Drosophila melanogaster: one gene and its partners. The protein of the gene in region 2 interacts with the protein of the main gene of each other region in a pairwise test. Each region holds a gene or a part of one and is shown on either strand. Other genes may lie near its edges.

Region 1 (3,688 bases), on a different chromosome or scaffold from region 2:
TGAAGTTGGCCATCGAGGTTGAAAGCCCACTCGAGCATGAATTAGCGTCTATGGGATGACAGTTTCCAAGTGTTGGGGGCGCCGAAAAGGACGCAAGGATGTTCTTCAGTTTTTAATTTAATATCGGGTGATGCGTGAATTGGAGCGGAAAATATTCCTAGTTTGCTTAGCCTGAGCTAAATTCTTGCAAAATGATTAAATCCCTGTATCCTTGTGTCTAATGCCTGTAAATTGATAAGTCACATTGAAAACAAATATTTGATTTAATGACAGGCCTGAATGCATTCACAGCTCCGATTTCAAATTGTGAAACCTTTGCAAATTACCCTCGGCTGACCAGTTATTCATGGTTGTTTATTTTTTGTGGCCTATGCGAAAACCAAACAATAAATCGAAACTCTATTTGATTAATTTTAAAGAAGAAACTCAGCCAAGGGCATAACTGAATTAAAGAGCAAATTCACATGGCGTTTCTGGTCATTGTTCACTGCGTAAACATTTGTAAATTTGCTCTTTTTCAGGTGTATACACGGTGCAAACAAAACTCGACTGAACGGCTAAAAAATGGTCATAAAATAGCATTTGACAAATGACGCACTTCCTGTCAACGCACACAATCACAAACGCATACAATCACACACGCACACATTTATCCCTTATCGGTAACTTGTAAAAAGAGGTCGAAACAATTGCATTGCTTTTAAACATGAATCTGCTCACATAGTTACACAGTTTAACAATATAATAATTCATTGTTTGAATTTATTTATGAGCGCAGCTCAAATATTTAATATGCACAAACGGCAGTTTGTTTAAATGTAATTTAGTGGAATAATTAAACAAATGCGGATTTTATTCAAAACTATTTAGTTGCTGTCCGATTGACTAACCTTTTTGTAAACGAGATCCTATTAAAATTTAACAAGTAATCATAAAATACATTTTCTTACAGTTCTTACGCCAGCCATCCAATTTGTTAGCTCACTAACTTTGCAGCGAAATTATAAAAAAGGCTTTAATTGCATAATTAAATTTATTGGCTGTACAATTTTCCATAAGGTAATTTTATCAGTTTTGCAGAGAATAATTGCAAAATTAAATGAGCTAATTAAACCATTTCCAAGTGGAATAAAAAGGCTCATTTACTTTGCAATTGGATCAGTTTTAGCAACCCAGACTTAAATCCGTTTTCAACAGATACTCGACGCGACGTTTTTCCTTAGGAGGCAGTTGAAAGAATTTTGAGACAAAGTTATTCAGTTCCCTCTTTGTATGCAGTGGGGGCCACATTGTTTTATAGCACAGGATTCTAGAAAAGCCACGAAAGTCCCGGTTAATTTATGTTATCATTTCTAACTTTTAGCTTACTTCTTCAGGAAAAACTGGTCGCAGATATTGCGTTGATTGGCAATAATGTGCTCCATTTCGTGAAGGAACTGCCTATCATATTTCGCTTTGGAGTCCAGATACCGCACATAGCAATTAAGATCGCTGGAAATAATGGTGTGTCAGGAAACCTAAGTAACTCAGCAAGTTCTTTCTTAACTGACTACTGAAAGTGCTTTATATCGTAGCTGGGATGCAAACTGGCATCGGCCTCGTCGTGGAACTTGATCCTTGGCTCATACCACTCGTCGAGCTCCTGGAGACGATGGAACTCATATCGGGAAGCAAGTCCTGACAAGGAAACCAACGAAGTGGTCTTCGTCCTAGTCAGGAATTCCTCCACTTTCTTAGCCTTCTCCTGGGCCTTGGCCACAAACTTCGCGTTGAGGCGGTGAACTGGTACATTTTTACCCCGCAGGACATCTCCCGCTGAGGGGATCGACTTAATGGTTACAAGGCTCGTCGCGGACATGTTGAAAATTTGATACTGCTCTTGGGAAACTGGAGATTTTTGAGATATATTAAATGGCTTATTTATGCGGTGACTACTTTGATTCGACAATTAACGCTTTAATAAATACGCCACATAGTTGTCACCGTCAACAACATCTGAGTCCTTGGGGAATTATTGTTTTAAGCCGCTGGTGTTTATAAATATACATGGAAACAGCCGAGAACATCATGAGGATTCATCAGACGATATATGGAAAGGGGTCAGGCTGCTGTATTTTATTTACACGGCCATTCACATTGGCATTTCAAAAATCATTCATTAATTTTTTAATTCAACAATCAGGCTGGTTCAAAGTGGCGTGGAATAAAAACCAAAAAAGGAATCTCTGTAATAATATCACATGCAATTATTGCAGGCAATATGCATGCAATTATGCTAAAGGATATCCATTGTAAAAAAAACTTTGCAAGTGAGCCCGAAATAGAGTTGCGAACTCGAAAGTTCTCAATGCGATTGGATAGCCTTTGTAATTATGATGTCCCTAAAAAAATGAAAAACTAACAGGGCCCTGTTCGAACTTTCATTGACTTATTTGTACCCTTAATAATGGTCCCTCCTAATAATCTATGAGGAGTAGTGCGACTGCTAATCTACCCACATTTGCACCCATTATCCAGGTGTGGTCGAAAATTATTCTCAAAAAGATTCCACACATTTTCGCGCCATTAAACATGCATTCGCGCATTTAATTTCATTTTTTGAACCGCCCGAGTTGACGGAACAGAGCCATCAGCCGGACCACAAGAGTGGCCCACTGAAGGGGGAATAGGAGCTGCCGCCGACAGGAGAGTTGGCCAATGTTTGCACAGCAAAAACATGGCCCAAAACGCTGGGTCTATTAAGAGCACATTTGACCAAAGTCGGGGCTCCGGCACGTGTGCAATGAAAACAAACGAGCCCATTATTGTTACACTTTTCTTTGGCAACCGGCCGCAGAGACCATTAATGATGTGTTATGGCCTCAAGAGGCCGGCCTAGCCGATCCTTGAACTTTGGCCAGGCAGAGCCTGTGAATTGAACTCTAATTGCAGATAATGAATTGCTCGCATTAGGTCAACGAACAGTCGTCCGGATTGCCGCAAAGTGCCTAATGGAAATGCAATGAACTATTTATGGGCATAAGTAGCCAGCAATTGGCTGACTGAAGTTTGATCACGCACTGGGATTATTAATGCCGAGACAGGTCGACTTCCCTTTAAAGTGCTCATCTCATCAATTTGTGGATGTTTTCCCTTGGCCTTTTGGCCAACCGTCATTTTGGTCGCCACAAAATTGACAGCAGCTTTCCCACAGCGCGTAATGACAAAACAGTGACTAAAATGTTAACAACAAATCCAATTTATTTCACCGACCGGCCTACGAGGGACATTAATTACCAGATGGATCACGTATAAGGTATTAAATGCAAACTCAATCTGCCAATGGGGAAATGGCCAAATAACAGAGTGGTTGGTCAAATCTGGGCACACAAACTAACACAATCTGCTACTAATTCCCACAAACTGCATTTAAAGATAGCGGATTTCATTTAATAGAATGTGTTCACCGCCATTGATAATATTAATATAAATATAAATATAAACGTCATTCAGAAAAAGCGTTAAACAATAAACAATAAACATTGACAATGGTCGATGGTCAACGAGAGTGTAAACAACAAGATTTACTGCCATATGCTAGGGGATTACGGGTGTAATTGTACGCCACTTCGAAATGACATTGAACCAGACATGAAAATTGATTTTGGGCCTGATGCCGAGTCCATTACGGAAATAAGTTTGCTGAGCA
Region 2 (5,348 bases):
CCAAACACACTTTTTAGAAAATATTGATAATTTCGGGACTTTACGTTTGAGAAAACCAGACACTGCTATTTTAATGAACAGCCTAAAAGTTGTGAATTTGCTCAAGAATGTAAATAAAATAAGGAGAACACGAAAAACTAACGGGACTTTTTTTTTCTATCTAAACATTCCATTTTACAAAAAAAGGTGGAATAAAAGGTCGATCCCGAAAAGGGACATGGAAAAATACCGTTGTATTTCTTAGTTTCTCTTGCACTGCTATTTCTTTGAATGTACAAGTACTTAAAGCAACCATCAAATCGATTCAAATCAAGACATTATGTTGACCTTTAATGACATATTTCTAAATCGCATTGCAAATTATCTTTTAAGTGAATAGGATTTGATGTTTTTGACTATATTCGAATTAAACAACATAACATTAAACTTCATGCTACTGATTAACTGCCTTCACACCAATTTATCGAGCTTTCATATTGAATAAAATGCGTATTCACCAAATATGCAGATACATAACACATGATGATTTCGGGGATAAGGCAGTGAGTAGAGTTATACCAGGGGCCCAGCATACAGGATTCGCATAGAGATATTACTGAAAACCAAGAGATCAGCCACCAAACTTAAGAGTAATCGACCAGGAGTGGGTGTATCGTAAATCAAGGTACATCTTATGAGGTAAGCAAGGTGTTACTCACTCCGTATCGGCTGTACGTAGGTGAATCATAGCTGGACCCGCTCAGATACGAGGAGGTGCGGTAGGCGGACGAGCTGCTGCCGGATCCGCCGCTCATATACGACGTTGACGACGTGGTACCAACGCTGCTCCTCTGCACACTGGAGCGCGGCGCATACGAGGCGCTTGAGGAGCCGCTGTTGGCGGAGAACGTTGAGTAAGAGGTGGGATAGTAGCTGCTGCCGTAGCCCGACGAGTTGGAGCCGCCGGACGAGGTGGGCAGCCACTTGGACAGACTGCTGCCGCGGTCGTAGCTGCTCGATATGCGGGAGTAACCGTTCGTGGCGGCGCCTCCGCTGGTCCGATCCACCGCACCGCTTCCGGTGATGCTGATGTGGTGACTGCCGCTGGTGGAGTTGCTGCTGGTGGTGCTGCCGCTGGAGGTGCCGACCGCCGATGTACCGTAGAGACTGCCGCTGCCCGCCGCTGACGTTGACGATCTACGCGGCGCAATTACACGCATATTAATGGCAGCAGCGGCAGTGATCAAGCCCCGGGTTCCGGATGAAGTCGAGAGTGTCCTTGGTCTGCTGGCAGCACGTGGTATTGCTGAGCGGATGATTCCTGTTTTGTTTCCGGTCTTGCTTCGCTTTCTCTGTTTTTCGTGGGCTATACGGCGGAATTCAGTTTCATTAATGGAAATCACAGCGTCAACGTGTCCATGTACCCACCTGCGTCACGTTATTTACATTATCATCGCATTATATCCCTAGGATTAGGTTAGTTTTAAACTTAATGGCTGCATATGTGCTACATCTAAGACCCGTTCTTGTTGCTGCTAAAGTTGTAGGCGAAACTGAAAAGAATGGAATTTTAGAAGGCCCTATTTATCAAATTAATTCGAATTCAAAACCTCATACTAATCGGACCATAATATTCTAACTTCTTTATCAAAAATATACCCAAAAGATTGGAAAATGCCCAGTGTAAATGATCTAATGAGGGAACATCTTTTAATCAAAACCACATTTTTATGACGGTACTTTTAGTAGTGCAAACAATTCTAAATTGTCAAGACCTTGTCCGTTTACATTTGATTCACTTATTGGAGAAATGAAGGCTTGCAGGCGCAAGGTTATCTTGAATTCTGCATAAGATAATGCGAAACCCTTCAAGCGGAACTCCTCGTCTTTCTTCCCCTTCCCACGATTGATTTTTCACAAGCGCAAAAAACACCCACGCACATCTCGGGAATTTGTGGCCTTCGATTTGTCCCTGATGAACAGTTAGGCGGAGAGTGGAAAACCGATCGACACTTGTTTACAATCGCAAAATAGTAATAAATAGAGAAAAGCCGTTTTCAAGTTTGCCATAACAACAACTTCAGTGTGACGCTGGCTGGCTGAACTGGGTAGGGGCGGTGTGGGACGCGGACGGCTGTCCTTATGCGGTAACACTTAAAATGAAGTTACGTTCGTGTGTGTGCCGCCAGGCTGTCTACGCTCCCATTCGAGAAAACCGTTGCTTTTACATACATACATGCACAAGTGTAAGGCTCTGCGGGTGGTGTAGTGCAGGGGGATGGGAGAAGCGGGTGGTAGGCCTTAACTAACATAAGATGGCCACACTTTCACGAATCGATCTTTCGTTCATAAAATGCTACAACTACACTACAGCCCATTCACACACATTCACTTAAAAAAATTGAATTATCCAAGCTCACACAATCGCACGCGAGTACCCACAGGTGTAGCTGAACTTTTTCAACGGTTACCACGATTAGCCGCTTTCTTTAGACACAAAACTCATACATTCTTTGCACGTCAAAATCGAAATAATTGTGATAAAAGCAAAAACAATATATAAAACGAAACGAAATGAGATTCTATTTTTAAAAGGTGCACTCACACACGCGCGTACGTTTGGCAGTGAAATGTGTGAGGGAGAGGGGGCGAGCCAGGGTAGTAGTAAAACAGTGCCGAGATTGTGCGCGCGAGCGATGTAGCACTATTGGCTACACGGTCACACACACACACACAGGCGCCAGGCAGCGTACGAATTACGCAAAGTGAAATATCTTTCTCAAAATGGAAAGTGGAAAAGTGACGACGACGGCTATTAGGAATTTTTCATACATCCACGGAACACAAAAAATGTACAAAGGCAAATGCGTATATAAAGTGTATAAATTCATACTAAGATAGAAAACAAATGGGCGAGGGGATGGGTGGCGAAGGTGAAAATTTGACCGCAAAACGAACATCACGAGGCGAACGAGGTCGCGCTGCCGAAAGTCCCGTCTCTTAATGATATCCCACAAATTTTAACGCCAGCCAAGCGACATCATCGTTTTGCACCGCAAAAGGGCCTTTTTCCGGTCGAATTAAAGCAATTTTTTTTTGCACAACACAGAACTCACTTTTTAATCCTATTTTTTTTGCTAGTGTGGCCGCACGCCGAAACGAAGTCACCGTCACTAGATTTTGAAGATAGGTTAACTGTTCTTCGATAACTATCGAAGAACTATGCCTGATGCATGTATGGTTGGTGTACTTGCTAACAGATGAGCAGAGGCCTTCTTAATGTTCCATTTACACAGAATTCCATCATATGGGATTTGAAAAATATGCTTCAAACTTAATAGTTTTTGCACAAAACGCCAATCGAATTATATTTCCAGTTCCAGGGAAAAGATTTCTGGGTGGAAATAAACACACAACTTTCAATTCTTAATTAGACTAAAGTCAAGCCTAGAATATTATATATTACAGTTCAATATAATTTAATACAGAATTTTGTTTTAAATAAATAGTATTTTGTTTATCTGGTATATAACAATGATTTTGCACAAGGTATTTCTTATAGCTATCTGCGCGGTCACACTGTTTTTGTGTGAAAATTCTGTCGAAAAGAATGTATTAAAAGTTCTTTGAATACTAATTCCGTGTAATTCCGACCGTGCTGTTTCAGAAAACTGTGGTTGGATTGGAAACTTAACCAAATTATAAGGTAAAACCGGGGCAGCTTGCCCATCGAAGGACCGCCACAAACGAATTTTCGCGTCGCATTACGTTTTAGTGTTGCCACCTTATACGGAGTGCCGGGCACAATTCCACTTGCTGGCCAAACGGATGCGTTGCGGTCGCGATGTGCACGCCGTTGAATTAATTCCTTCGCCCTGTTGATTGAGTACAGTTCGACTTCTCCGATCGGTGTCCTCCAGACCTAAATTTCGCCGGAATAACGACGGCAAACGGACGGACGGACTCTAGTCGGAAAACGGGCGAGCTGGCAATACTGCCAGTGCACAAAATGATGTGAATCTCGGAAAAGAGGAAAGCTACAGGAAAAGCCAAGGAAAAGCAAGCCGGTAAAGTGTGCAAATGCGAGTGGCAAGCAAAGACCTTTGTTTCCCATTCCATGAAGTTTTCTTGAGTTGTCCGCTGCTGTGAGTGGTCATTATCAGCCATCATCATCATTGTCGTCATCATCACCAAAGGAGCTCGTCGTCATTAGGCCGGCCACCAGCTAAACGGCATTGAGAAAACTCAGCAGCACCTTGTCATCCAAGTCTTGATCTTCGTCTTGGTCTGGATATCCGTATCCAATCACACAGTTCAGGTGGGTTCTTGATCCAGACTCCGAATTCGAATACGAGTCCTAGATTCTCATGCTGATCCTTTTCCATATCTACAGTTATGTCCTCGACCGCCGGAAAGCGCAAGGAGATCTACAAATATCTCGCGCCATGGCCACTGTACTCCATGAACTGGAGTGTAAGGCCGGACAAGCGATTCCGGCTCGCACTGGGCAGCTTCATCGAGGAGTACAACAACAAGGTACAGATCATCAGCCTGGACGAGGACACCAGCGAATTTAGTGCTAAGAGGTATACCGAATATTTGTTTAGCTGATCCCTTCTACTTTCTGTTTTCATTTTATATTTCGTATATTATCTTTAAAAAATAATATAAAATGATAAGCAGTTTTGATATTATTGTAATCATTTTAAATATGAATAGTTATTTGGTTATACGAACCATTTTTCCGAAATCCCCTTCCTCACTGACAGATTATTTCTTCTTCAAATAGCACCTTTGATCATCCATATCCGACAACCAAGATCATGTGGATCCCGGACTCCAAGGGTGTCTATCCGGATCTGTTGGCCACCAGTGGCGACTACTTGCGGGTGTGGCGTGCCGGGGAACCGGACACGCGGCTCGAGTGCGTACTGAATAACAACAAGAACAGCGACTTTTGCGCTCCCCTCACTTCGTTTGATTGGAACGAGGTGGATCCCAATCTGGTGGGAACCTCATCGATAGACACAACCTGCACTATCTGGGGACTGGAGACCGGACAGCCGCACGCTCGCGTCTATGTGGCAGGACACGTGAAGACGCAATTGATTGCCCATGACAAGGAAGTATACGACATTGCTTTTTCGCGGGCCGGCGGCGGTCGGGACATGTTTGCCTCGGTGGGAGCGGACGGGTCGGTGCGCATGTTTGATCTGCGGCACTTGGAGCACTCGACCATTATATATGAGGTAAGTAGAACGCGCGAAAACACAAAAACGGATGACTACATAACGATAAATCCAATAGGATCCTGCTCATACGGCGCTGCTGCGCTTGGCCTGGAACAAACAGGACCCGAACTACTTAGC
Region 3 (3,434 bases), on a different chromosome or scaffold from region 2:
CACTGCAGCCGCTCACTGGGCACGACCACGAGCTCACCCACGTGTCGGCACATCCCACCCAGCGCCTGGTGGTCACCGCTTCCAGGGACACTACGTTCCGTCTATGGGACTTCCGAGAGGCAATCCCAGCGGTCTCCGTCTTCCAAGGGCACACGGAAACGGTTACGTCCAGTGTGTTCGCACGCGACGACAAGGTGGTGTCCGGATCAGATGATCGTACAATCAAGGTCTGGGAGCTGCGCAACATGCGATCCGCCTTGGCCACCATTCGAACGGATTCCTCGGTCAATCGTTTGGCGGTCTCCACTGGTGGAATTATCGCCATACCGCATGACAATCGACAGATCCGACTGTTCGATTTGAACGGGCAGAGAGTCGCCCGATTGCCACGGACCAGTCGGCAGGGCCACCGACGGATGGTGTCGTCTGTAGCGTGGGCGGAGGAGCCGCTGCTGGACTGCGATCTCTTCTCCTGCGGCTTCGATCGCCGCGTTTTCGGCTGGTCCATCGTTCTTCCGAAGGACAATTGAAGGCAACTGAAGCGGAGAGCTGCTGCACCAAAGGAATGAGGAGGCGCAGCTCTGCGAAATCCCAAACATCTCTCGAACAAAGAAGCATCCCCAAAGCGATGCCCACATACTTACATATATGTAACCGTTTATCATAGATCAAGTATTATGCAGACATTGTTCAGGATGTTCTACTATCTCGTTGTCGCCCACTGAATGTAATTAACGTTGCTTTTTGCCAAATAGTCGTGGCATAGCGTGCTGCACGAACTACATATTATCATTGTTATAGCATACGTATGTATATGCGTTGGGACTGGGCTAAACTCTTCGGAGTGCAGAGCTTCCGATGTCCAGACCCGATTTTATCTGTGTTTTACTACCATAATACATATTATAGACGTCTAAGGCATTAACGCTTTAGCCAACATGAATAAACATAATCAACCACCCGATTCATCGCTGGGTATATCCTAAAACTGACCTTTTTGAATTGGAAGTGCATTTTAGTGGAGTATATACATTTATAAGCTTATTAACTAGGACAAAGAATTCGTAACGATTAATAGGTATATATAGTCCATCGCCTGTTTGGTGGTTACGACTTTGGAATAGAATGGCATTGGCTCACAGGTGAGCGAACTTCAGCACCAGCAAGCCGACGAGTATGCCCACCTCCAGAATGATAATCAGGATTAGGATGATCTTGTTGTAGAGCACCTCCCTGCTCAACTTCCGAATGATGACCCTCGATTTGGACAGATCCTGATCGGCGTCCTCCAGGCGGCGCGTGGTGCGTAGCAGCGACTCCCTCTGCTCGCCCAGTTCGCCGAGTACCTGTTGATGCGTAAGCGAGCATTAGTTAGCCCTGTTAATGGCTACTATCTGGGTAATTACCTCCGCCCCCATGTTCTCCGTTTCGATGGCAATCTGGTTGGATCGCTGGATACTGTCCGTCGTCCGCTGTAGCACGTCGTAGGTGCTGGCCGCGAGCTGCGCCTGCCTGCGCTCCTGGTCGCTGCCGCTGGGCAGCTGGCTATAGCCGGCGTAGGACATAATTTGGTAACAGCTTTTAATAAATTAAATGCGATGCAGTGGGAATATCAAAACAAAACAAAGGCAGAGTGTGGCCGTGGTGAGCGGTGCAGTGAAAACGCTATTTGGTAAGGTACTAACGCGTTGTGCGTGGAGCCACCTGTTAACACTTTATGCACTTTACAGCACTTAAAACAGTTGAAATTTAAAATGAAACTGTTACCAAATTAGCTTAATATTATTTTATATTCTAAATTCTAATTAAAAGTTTAAATTGTAAGAAGTGTTAGTTCAATTGGTTTTTTTTTGAGATTGGCTTCCTCACTATCAACAAGCACATCTAGTTACTGCAAAAATATCACATATTAATGGTGATTAATTGGGTGATCCTAAGAGTGATTAGGTTTTTGGAAACTGACCATTTTTTTGGTAGACACATGTAGCACTCGAGGATTTTGACTTTAGTACGGGTATTTGTCGATTTCTGATTTGCGATAACGGTCACCGATCATACATAGTTGGCATGCCCGCGCCGAGAGAGCCGCCTGAATTCACAGGGTGTGTGTGCTGAGTAACAGAGAGTGCGAGGCATTTCGAGGCGATCGCGAGATTTTCGAACCGAAGTCGCGGCAGCGAGTGCCAAATTTAAACGCAGTCGATCGCTGGCGGTGAGCAGACGTGTGCTGCGCTCCATTCAGATTCAGATTCGAATAAAGATACTCTCGCTCGGCAACAAACAAGTTCTAAATTTATCGCTCGCACTCGCGGGGAATCGAATCTGGTGTGTCTTTGACATAAAAAGCGTTTTCGGAGCTGTGAAGGTAAGCGAAAAACTCGAAAAAACTCGAAGCAACTGGAAAAACCCGGCGGGTTCGAGGTGTAAAAGCTGTGCCACGGGTTATCCACCCGTATATATCCCATATCCCCTGTAAACTAGCCATCCAAAGCACGTGCTTTGGCAGCAGGGAGTATGTGCAATTAAGCCCAATTTGAATGCACTTTGGCACGTGATGCTGGCTGCTGACAGCTACTGGTCGGAAAAGTGAGCTTACTGGGGGCTGCGGGGCACACCTGTCATGGGACCCATTGTGCAAACACCTGCCAGAAGTCGCAGCTAAAGTCAGAGCGGCAGATACGCGTAGCGCTATCTCTTTCGTAAGCCCCGAGTATCTCTGAGATACTCAGGTACGCACCTACTACGTTCGCAGTGTGTGTGTGTGTTAGTCGAACCCTTGTCATGTGAATATAATACTCTCCAGAGTATCTGTGAGTCGCGCTCTCTTTGCAAAGTCGCGAGTTTTCGAGTTTTATGCAATCATCATAATCATATGGGGGGGTTCTATCATGTGATCTTTTTCTCGGGGTCTCGGTTTCCAGAAGCCTTGCGTCCCCACAAAGATCTCCAGCTGGAACGGAAACCCTAAAAGCTGGGCTCGAGTAGTTGCGAATAGCGCACAATAAATACCAGTCGATTATGATTTATGGATCGCTCTATAAATTGTCCAATGGCACTTCCAATCGATCAATCAGTATTGCGCTGATTAGCCACAGTCGCAGACCCAGTTTATGAATGGGGAAAATCTGATCGATTCTAGAAATCTAGCAATTTCACATCTGAAGTATAGTATTTTGCCGAGTTGCACACAAGTGCTCCTGGTCGATCGTCCAGTTAATTAGCTATATAAAGCCAAAGCCCGGCCACTCGAGTCGCCGATCTCCAGTTACGTAACTCTATATGTATGGCTTATCGGGGAAGTGGTCGGCAAACACTGCAAATAATGCTGACTTTGATGGCTTATTTTTCTGTATTCAATAGTATTGCGTAAAGAGGCTATTTATAAGGAGTTGATACTAGCCGATTTATTAGCTGGCTCCTGTTTTACAGCTCTA

The links. The genes of interacting proteins can lie anywhere in the genome.
Region 1: the proteins of Usp2 (region 2) and CG11286 interact in a two-hybrid assay, tested with the Drosophila melanogaster proteins (one large-scale study listed by BioGRID).
Region 3: the proteins of Usp2 (region 2) and Vti1b interact in a two-hybrid assay, tested with the Drosophila melanogaster proteins (one large-scale study listed by BioGRID).

Annotation. Positions count from the first base shown.
Region 1 is NT_033777.3:7,769,843-7,773,530, forward strand, and holds CG11286 (uncharacterized protein), read right to left. Parts: upstream 1,915-3,688; 5' UTR 1,859-1,914; coding exon 1,551-1,858; coding exon of another isoform or gene 1,550-1,550; exon of another isoform or gene 1,492-1,549; coding exon 1,369-1,491; intron 1,310-1,368; coding exon 1,165-1,309; 3' UTR 1,018-1,164; downstream 1-1,017.
Region 2 is NC_004354.4:22,453,611-22,458,958, reverse strand, and holds the start of Usp2 (ubiquitin specific protease 2), read right to left. Parts: upstream 3,157-5,348; 5' UTR 3,096-3,156; intron 2,514-3,095; exon of another isoform or gene 2,400-2,513; intron 2,069-2,399; exon of another isoform or gene 1,768-2,068; intron 1,533-1,767; 5' UTR 1,408-1,532; intron 1,346-1,407; 5' UTR 1,200-1,345; coding exon of another isoform or gene 699-1,199; intron 1-698. Other genes in the region: wap (wings apart), read left to right, coding at 4,375-4,565, 4,769-5,228, 5,287-5,348. UniProt on the Drosophila melanogaster protein: Hydrolase that deubiquitinates polyubiquitinated target proteins. Required for preventing the activation of the Toll signaling cascades under unchallenged conditions. Essential for bodily calcium homeostasis.
Region 3 is NT_033777.3:18,397,923-18,401,356, reverse strand, and holds Vti1b (vesicle transport through interaction with t-SNAREs 1b), read right to left. Parts: upstream 1,649-3,434; 5' UTR 1,566-1,648; coding exon 1,407-1,565; intron 1,347-1,406; coding exon 1,137-1,346; 3' UTR 1,018-1,136; downstream 1-1,017. Other genes in the region: Wdr37 (WD repeat domain 37), read left to right, coding at 1-530.